2 linked regions of the Caenorhabditis elegans genome follow. The protein of the gene in region 1 purifies or fractionates together with the protein of each later gene. This does not show direct contact. Each region holds a gene or a part of one and is shown in the gene's direction. Other genes may lie near its edges.

Region 1 (5,901 bases):
CAAGTCGACAAATTTTCGGCTAATCGGCTAATTCAGAAAATATTCATCTGGTTAAGTTTTTAACGTTAGTTTTGTTAGGTTATTCAGAATTTTGGTTTTACTGTTATTTAGCAAATTCGGTGATGAACGACTGTTCAAATAGAAAAAGTCATAAAAATTCACAAAAAAAGTTTTAGCGGAATTAACCGAAATAGACAAGCGACTAATTCGCCTGACATTTGCCTAAAATTGGCTAACGTCAACTCAGCAAAACTGACAATATGTCGGTACATGGCTAATTGGGCCAAGTCAAAATAGCAAATTTTTTAAATCGGCAATTTTTTAGTTTTTATGAATCAAAAAAAAGTTAAAAAACTTGAAACCAACACCGACAGACTTGCCAATATTTGTGCTGCTGCGAGCATCTTTGAATGCTCACCTTTAGCTCAGTTCTGGAATTTTGCAGTTGAAAATTTGCATTTCACCGTTTCAAATAAACCCAATTAAGGATATTGAAAATAATTTCCAGATGGACCTGTCGTAATGTGTGTCAAGGACTGAGACGCGCTGTTGATGGATTTGGAATTCATTTTGACACAATTGTATTGAGTATACACGACAGTGGCATTTGTATAACACTGGACAACAACACTATAGATTACGATCAACTGTTAAATGATGAAGGTACATCTGTGGTTTACAAGAAACAGGAAAAGATATTCAAAAAACAAAACTACGTAAAAGTAGCGGTAAAGGACTTTGGAATACTATTGCGTTACGCATCGAAATTACATATAAGTTCTGTTCACACATGCTACAAGACCGATATGTATTTTACTGCAAAACATCTTCTAAGGACTTTAACAGCCAAAAAATGGAATCACGTCGAGAAACTAGAATTTTGGAAAGTACCCCTTGATTTTGTACTTTCTATTCTTCCACACTTCAAATCTCAAGGACTGGAAAGTATAATACTGTGGAATACTTACTTATGGGATGATACAAGTGAGTTTCTCCGAATATCTCGTCGCAATATTTACAATTTTCCATTAGATAATCTATTTGAACAAATCACTAAATTGGATCAATGGAAAAACACGAAGAATTTCCGTTTTGATAATTATGAGCTAGAATGCCCACCCTTCGAACACCTGTTCCACTTCCAAACGTTTAAAATTCACATACTCAAATTTTCAGTAGAAAATGCTATTCAATTCAGAGATGTGAGTATTTTTTGTAGTAGTGATATTTTGTTAAAAAATCAAATCAATTTCAGGACCTACTAAAGAGAAAGACATTCGAAAAGTGCGCGGTCAAAATTGGTATTACAAATGAATCTGTTGATCCATCTGAACTTTCAAGAGTATTTAAGTCGGATTATAATGGTGAGAGTGATTTTGAATATTCAAACGATTTGGGCAGATTTGCAATTTACTGTCAGTGTAGTCGATTGTTCATAAAGAGATGTTAATAAAAAAATGTTTATTATTTCGAACTTTTATTTACATTGTTTAACACATTAAACTTAATATAATTCGATTGCTGTTAAACTTTTATCCTGAAAAAATTTGAAAGGTATACCAAAACCTTGAAACCATATACATAAGTATTTGTTCAGTCAAAATCGAAACTTCCATAGAAAAAGGAAAGGTATTCAGAAAAAAAAAACGATATAAAAATTCATGTTTACAAATATTTGCTGTTTCTTGAATTCAAAAAGTTTTATACTCAAGTTTCATTTTTTCGTACTAAAATGTCCGACCAACAGGCTGATCTGACAGAAAAAAGAGGAAAAGCTTTGGACATGTGGATTGAGATGAAATGTATTCGGCTTATGAGTGGGTAAGTAAGTTGAGAAGTTGTAGTGATACAATTTTACTAGTGATAAATATATATTTTAGTTTGACACCAGTTTACCCAACGCTTGTCGATTTGCCTTCAGAAATTATTGACCATGTTCTGGAGAAGCTGGAGCACATAGATCGGTGAGTGTAGTAAATTTGGCCAATTTCGGGTTTGTGGATTTGTCGGAACTTTTATCATCCGCTAACTTGCCGGTTTGCCGGTTTGCCGGAATTTTTTAATCCCGACAAATTGCCTGTTTGCCGGTTTGCAAATTCGCCGTAACTTTTCAATTCTGGAAATTCACCAATCTGCCGATTTGCTAGAAACTTTCAATTCCGGTAACTTGACGGTTTACCGAATTGCCGATTTGCCGGAAATTTTCAACTCCGGCAAATTGCCGATTTGGGGAACTTCTAAATCACGACAATTTGCCGATTTGCCGAATATTTTCAATTCCGGCAATTTACCAATTTGTCGGTAGTTTTTAATCCCGGGAAATAGCCAATTTGCCGGGTTCCCGGTTTGCTGGAAATTATAAATTCCGGCAATTTACCGATTTGCCGGAAAATTGCCGGTTTGTCGATTTGCCGAAAATTTTCATTCCCGGCAATTTGCCGATTTGTCGGAAGTTTAAATCCTGGCAAATTGCCGGTATGCCGATTTGCCGGAAATTTCCATTTTTGGAAATTTACCAATTTGCTGGAAAATTGTCAGTTTGCTGATTTGCCGGAAATCTCAATTCAGGCAATTTACCGACTTGCTGGCAAATTGCCGGTTTGCCGATTAGCCGGAAATGATCAATTCCGGCAATTTACCGATTTGCCGATTTGCCGGAACTTTTCAATCCCAGCAAATTGCCGGTTTTTCCGTTTGTCTGAAAGTTTTAATTCCGGCAATTTACCAATTTGCCGATTTGCCGGAACTGTTCAATCCCGGCAAATTGACGGTTTGTCGATTTGCCAGAAATTTTTAATTCCATCAAATTGCCGGTTTTTCCGTTTGTCTAAAAATTTTAATTACGGCAAATTCCCAATTTGCCGGAACTTTTCAATCACGGCAAATTGCCGCTTTGCCGCTTGCCGAATACCAATTTTCCGGAACTTTTTTGAGGGATTTTTTATAAAACGGAAAAACCGTGCATTTTCCAAATTTTTTGCCCGTTTTTTCTAGATTTTTCCTAGAATTTGCTTACTTTTTCAAAATAGATGTAGGAACATTTTTAGAATGCATACAATTTTGCCGATTAATATTAAAACTCTGAAGTTTCCGGAAAAAAGGGCAAAAACCACAGTTTGCCGATTTTCCGGAAAGTTCGGCAATTTGGCAATTTGTCACATTTCCGGTTTGTCAATTTGCCAAAAGTTATCAATTCAGGCAATTTGCCGATTTGACGGAAATTTTTATTTTATAAAAAATGTGCAAAAAATGTGAAAAAAATGAGCAAAAAACTGTAAAATTGTTCGATTATCAAAAAAAAAGCCAAAAAAATTTTGATGCATTTTTTTGCGCACTTTTGCACATTTTTTTGCACATTTTTGCTCATTTTTGCAAATTTTTCTTTCAATTTTTGCACATTTAAAATGTTTAGAAATTGTGTAAAAATTAATTCCAGGCTACCGTGCCGAAAAGTGTGCCGAAACTTGAGATACGCTGTTGATGAACTTGGGCTTCATTTTAAAGAGATTGAATTGCGACTGAGAAGCCAAGAAATTATCCTAAATTTGGATAATCATCAAGTTGGCTACTCGAACCTAGACGGTTGTTCTATAGTGACCCTTAACAAACTTGAACCTACTATCAGCTGCGAAAACTTCATGAAACTGGCCATCAAAGATCTGGAGCTCCTATCAAAGCATACATCAAGGCTTTGTCTTCGAAATGTCACTGGGAATAAAGACTATAATGTCCAAGCTCTGACCAACACCTTGGAAGCCCCTGTCCAAATGAAAAAAGTAATTTTTTGGAGCTTCTCGTTCAATGATTTGCTCTCAATTCTGCCGTATTTTAACGCAGAAGACATGGAATTTAATAATATTCACGCCACGAAAATTAAAATTGAAATGATTTCTCATCTGGAACAGTGGAAGCAGGCTAAGATTGTCTCATTTTCAAATTTTACCTTTGGTAGTCATCTGATCGAAAACTTTTTTCACTTTGAGAGGTTCACTATTAAAATGGAGGATTTCCCGTTGGAAAGTGCGATTAAGATTCGAGATGTAAGTTATTAACACATTTTATTATAATTACAAGTAGGCGCCAAAATGCCTGATGTGCCTGCCTTGCGCCGCGAGCCGCGCCTCTTGAAAAGTATGCAGCGAAACCCGAACAGTGTCGGCCGCGGCGAAAAACACATTTTTTCGCAATATGTGATGCAGGTGGTGCCGTTCGGAAACTTTTTTTGTCGACAAAATCGGCAAATGTGTAAATTGCCGATTTGCTGGAATTTTTAATTTTTGGCAAATTGCCGATTTGCCGGAATTTTTAATTTTTGGCAAATTGCCGATTTGCCGGAATTTTTAATTTTTGGCAAATATCTGATTTGCCATAATTATTGATTTTAGTCAAAATGCCGATTTGCCATAATTTTTGATTTTTGTCAAAATGCCGATTTGCCGGACATTTTCATTTTTGTCAAATTGCCGATTTGCCGGAAAATTTCATTTCCGGCAATGGGCTATTTTGTCGGAAACGTTCAGTTCCGGCAATGTGCCGATTTGCCGGAAAATTTCATTTCCGGCAGGTAGTCGATTTGCCGATTTGCCGGAATTTTTGGTTTTTGCCAAATTGCCGATTTGCCGGAATTTTTGATTTTTGCCAATTTGCCGATTTGCCGTTTTCCGAACAAAAAAAGCGGAAAATACAATTAGCAGAAAAATTTCGTCAAAGGCCGTTTTCCGGCAAATCGGAAATTTGCCGGCGGTTTCAATTCCGGCAGTTTTCCGGTTTGCCGGAAATTTCAATTCCGGCAGTTTGCCGCTTTGCCTTCCGGCAGATAGTCGATTTGCCGATTTGCCGGAAATTTTTATTTGCGCCAAATTGCCGATTTGCCGGAAATTTTGGTTTTTGCCGAATTTCCGATTTGCCTAAAATTTTAATTCCGGTAATTTGCCGATTTGCCGGAAGTTCCAGTTCCGACAATTTGCCCATTTTCCGTAAATTTTCAATTCCGGCGATTTGCCGATTTGCCGGAAATTTCAGCTCTGATAATAATAAGGTTTTTTTACAGAATCTAATGAAAAGAATAACATTTAACAGTTGCCTTATCGAATTCCATGGCGACAATCGACTTGAGCTTGCAAGAGTTTTCAAACCCGATTTTACTTTTGGAATTTGTAATTTTGATTATTTGAATGATAACGACACTTTTGGAATCAAGTGTACAAAACTGGAAACGCAGTATTTTCTATTTTCTATTGTGAGATTCCTTTGATGATTTTTTATGTTTTTCTAATTTATTAATAATTTGAATGTTACTCCGATTTTCGCCTAAAAATTTTTTACGTTCTTAACTTCACGTCAGACCAATAAAAATAGATTTTCGGGAAAAACGCGGAAGTTGGCACATTTTGAGCAGTGGCTCAAGAAACTTTCATTCGTCAGTGATTTTCATTGTGGGATAATGCTAGAGACATTTGGAAAAATAAGAAGATATCGGAATTAGACCACTCGTTGGGTTACATCGAAGCCTTTTTTTTCCCCAAAAATCAGGACCAACTGAAGCCACAAAATTTCGGTCTTACTATTAGAATACCGAATATCGAAAACTGGGGAAAATAATTTCGATGCCAGTTAACTTATTAACACAAAAAGCAATGTTTTTTGATCATTGTAACCTAGAAAGTTTAATAGTTTTTGGGAAAAATTGCGGAAGTAGGCACATCTTGAACAGTTGCTCGTTTCGCACAACCTTTGCCTTAACCCCAGAAAAGTTCCAGTCACGGTGACACTTTTAAAGTGTTTGTGAACAGTTGGCACTCCCAATGGCTTGAGAAATTTTCATTCGCGACGCTTTTTCGTGGTGAAAAAATTGAGAAACTTTGAAAAAGATATGAAGAGATCAGAAAATCGTTTAGAGTC
Region 2 (3,860 bases), about 12 Mb from region 1:
TTTTGCAACCCTGCGGCACGGTTTTTTCTCCATTTTTCTCAATAAAATTTCGATTTTACTTGTTTTTCTCTTTTTTTTTCGAATAAAATTCTATCGAAAAAAGATAATAAAACATGTAAAATCGAAAGTTTTTTTTTAATCAATTTCAAAAAAGCAGTGGAAAAACCGTGCCGCAGGGTTGCAAAATTACGCGCCGCCTCTTTTTCTGTGCGATGCTGCTTTTTTTTTTTGCAAAATCTCACATTTTTTCGTTGATTACGGTACTTTTGTAGCCGATATCGACGTTTAATGCACCGTGAATTTTGCAAAAAAGGAGTATCGCACAGAAAAAGAGGCGGAGCTTATTTTGCAATCCTGCGGCACGGTTTTTTAGCTGCTTTTTTAAAATTGAATGTTTTAAAATAAAATTTTTGATTTTTCCTCTTTTTAGAATAAAATTCTATCGAAAAAAGATAATAAAATATGTGAAATCGAAATTTTATTGAAAAAAAAAATCAATTTCAAAAAAGCAGTGGAAAAAAACCGTGCCGCAGGGTTGCGAAATTACGCTCCACCTCTTTTTCTGTGCGATGTTGATTTTTTTTTGCAAAATCTCACATTTTTCGTTGATTATGGTACTTTTATAGCCGATATCGACTTTAAATGCACCATGAATTTTGCAAAAATCAGCTTCGCCGCACAGAAAAAGAGGCGGAGCGTAATTTCGCAACCCTGCGGCACGGTTTTTCTACAGCTTTTTTAAATTGTTTTTTTTAAATAAAATTTTTATTTTTCTTGTTTTTCTCTTTTTTTCGATTAAAATTTTATCGAAAAAGGGTAATAAAACATGTAAAATCGAAATTTTAATTTTAAAAAATCAATTTTAAAAAAAAACACTAAAAAACTGTGCCGCAGGGTTGCGAAATTACGCCCCGCCTCTTTTTCTGTGCGATGCTGTTTTTTTTTGCAAAATAAAGGACAAAAATTAGCAGAGTCTGACGAAAATCAAACGGAGAAATCGATAATTTTTGGGGATTTTGGCTAAATTATGCAATTTTTTCGAATTTTTTCGAATTCCCGGTCTGAAATTCGGGCTTTTAGGCTTTTGCCAAATAACGTACAAGCTGCGAAGATCTTATAATACGCAGAATGAGCCGGCACCAATCCAATAAACGGAATCATGTAGTTCAGAGCAAAAAAGACGGTCAAAACTCGTGCGGCGAATAGCACACACTCCATTGTGTTCGCCGAAACGTATTGCTGGAAAATTATTGATTTTTAGTTGGAAAAAACTGCAAAAATTCTCACTGAAATCGAGGAATAAGCTGGCGGTGGTGGTGGTGGTGGGGCACTCGAAGATCCAGAAGATCCAGCTCCGGTGGATGAAGATTGATGATCATCGGGTTCTTCGACAATTTCGACCATTTTTGTGAAGTTTTTCTGCAAAAAAATCTGTGAAATTGGGAAAAAAGGAAAAAATTGAGGTTAGGAGACGTGGATTAGCCCAAAAATTGCGTAGAATGTTCCGGAATCATCGATTTTTTTCTGTTTTAAACAAAAATTAAGGCAACGCATATTGAAAATCAAAAGAAAACACCAGCGGTTTCTATGGAAATCAATTAACGAGTATGTGGAGCCGCAGAGCACACATTCTCGATAATACTTGAGAACGACCGCAAACACTTTGACGGCACGTTGCACAGAAAATATTTTTGTGATTTTTTACTTTATTTACTCATAATAATCGTTTTAAACTGCTTTTATCGGATATAAATTCATAAATTTGAAGAAAAACTGCAGAATTTCTCTAGCTAGAAATAAAAAATAAAATTAATTGTCGTCAAGTTGTGCGCATTGTACGCAAGCAGCGTGACGTCAGATTGCACAGTTTTCTTTTTTATATAAAAAATTTAATTTAATCTTTTTTAAAATCAAATTTCCGCTATTCAAATAGATTTTAAGAGCTTATTTTAAAATAAATTAAAATTTCCTGAATTTCAGAATGCTAAAACTCGCTTCATCCCTCAGAACTGGTCTTATAAGCCGAAGCATCCGAACATTAGCGCCAACAGTGAACCCGGCCGAGCAACAGCAAGTTCAAGCAGTTTTACCCGACAAACTGTACAGCTCAGTTGAAATCGAGTATCGTGGGCACGACAAGGCGGTTTTGAAGTCATATACGTCGTTTTTGCAGGTATTTGAACGTTTTTCAGGTCTTTTTGATTTTAAATTGCATTTTTCATTTATTTTCAGCAAGTCTGCCAACACCTGGAGATTCCTCAAGGTCGTCTCGAAGTTCTTCCGTATATTCGATGGGTTCAGCCGGCTCTGCGCTCGAAATTCGTCCATAAAAAATATAAATTGCATTATGAGACGAGAACACACATTTCTAAACTTGAGGTTGGAAAATAATTAAACGCCTATGGGGTCACAATAACCGAATATCATGATAAAAAAATTCAAAAAAATTTTCTAGATTTTATATGATTTTTTGAAAATTAGAAAAATCTCAGTTTTCCCCCTAATTCCTAATTGAATTTCCGCCAATTGGATTCGTTCGGTGGAGCGCACTTGCTATATTTTCATTAATTTATTTTATTTTTTCTCATTCTTTCACTGATTTTCTTCAATATTTGCGTATTTTTATCGGAAAAAGAGAGAAAAATGCAAGATAAAATCAAATTGTTCATTAAAAATCACTGAAAATGGGTAAAACTCTAAAATTATGAGTTCTGGAGACAACAAGCTAGCTTGAAATTAGCATATTTTACAGTTTTACCCATTTTCAGTATTTTTTTTTTATGAAGAATTTGCATTTTTCTCTCTTTTTCCGATAAAAAACCACAAATATTGAAGAAAATCAGTGAAATAATGAGAAAAAATAAAATAAAATCAATAAAAATAGAGCAAGTGCGCTCCACCGAACAAGTTCAATTAGCGGTAATTTAAATAGGAATTAGGGGAAGGGAAGAAAGAGATTTTTTCAATTTTCAAAAAATCATATAAAGTCAGGAACATTTTTTTGAATTTTTTTATCATGATATTCGGTCTCTGTGACCCCAAAGGCGTGTTTTCACCTTAAATTTTTTTTTCCAGATCCTCAACGTGACTGGCTCCACAGCTTCAACATTCCTCGAATACATCCAACGAAACATCCCAGAAGGCGTCGGAATGCGTGTCGGATTCACCGAACTTCAACCACTACCGCTGACAATTCAGAAAAATTGATTTATAACCAAATTCTAGTGTGTAGATCCTTATTGTTATTTCGTTTTTTTTTCCTTCTTCAAATTGTTTACTTTTAATGAAATAATAAAGGTGGACCTCTCACCTGATTGGTCGGAAAGTGGGCGAAGCAATTCGCTGGTTGGTCGGCCAAAATTTAGCCAAAATTGAAAAAAAGGTGTTTTTTTTCTGTGGAATTTCTGAATTTTTAGGATTTTCCAAAAAAAATCCGAATTTTTTGATTTTTTAACAATTTTCAAAAAAAAACTGCTTTTTAGGCCCCGCCCACTTCTTGGAGATAGGTTATTTTGGAAAATAAATTCCAAAAAAAACACTGAAAATTTCCGAATGCCCAAGAAGTGGGCGGAGCCTAAAAATAAATTTTTTTGGATTTTTTTATTTTTCAAAAAAAAACGGCTTATTAGGCCCCGCCCACTTCCTGGAGATATCTGTTTTTCTGGAAAGGAAAAAAATTCCAAAAAAATCACTTGAAATTTCCGGATATCCAGGAAGTGGGCGGAGCCTAAAAATAAATTTTTTTGAAAATTTCCAGTAGATCTTTGTTGTTGCATTTTTCTCTATATTTTCAAATTGTGTTTGCTTTTATTAAATATATAAAATGAGACCAAAAAACATGGCAAAACAAGTGAAAAAGA

What was found. The genes of interacting proteins can lie anywhere in the genome.
Region 2: the proteins of fbxa-5 (region 1) and mrps-10 fractionate together in Caenorhabditis elegans (co-fractionation; one large-scale study listed by BioGRID). This does not show direct contact.

What each region holds. Positions count from the first base shown.
Region 1 is NC_003281.10:1,336,165-1,342,065, reverse strand, and holds fbxa-5 (F-box domain-containing protein), read left to right. Parts: upstream 1-1,725; 5' UTR 1,726-1,732; coding exon 1,733-1,821; intron 1,822-1,880; coding exon 1,881-1,964; intron 1,965-3,436; coding exon 3,437-4,040; intron 4,041-5,050; coding exon 5,051-5,254; 3' UTR 5,255-5,371; downstream 5,372-5,901. Other genes in the region: fbxa-26 (F-box domain-containing protein), read left to right, coding at 509-984, 1,033-1,202, 1,256-1,450.
Region 2 is NC_003281.10:12,924,579-12,928,438, forward strand, and holds mrps-10 (Small ribosomal subunit protein uS10m), read left to right. Parts: upstream 1-1,978; 5' UTR 1,979-1,981; coding exon 1,982-2,173; intron 2,174-2,232; coding exon 2,233-2,379; intron 2,380-3,075; coding exon 3,076-3,207; 3' UTR 3,208-3,308; downstream 3,309-3,860. Other genes in the region: npp-25 (Transmembrane protein 33 homolog), read right to left, coding at 1,101-1,239, 1,288-1,404. UniProt on the Caenorhabditis elegans protein: Ribosomal protein required for normal mitochondrial function and normal larval development. Thought to have a role in insulin/IGF signaling.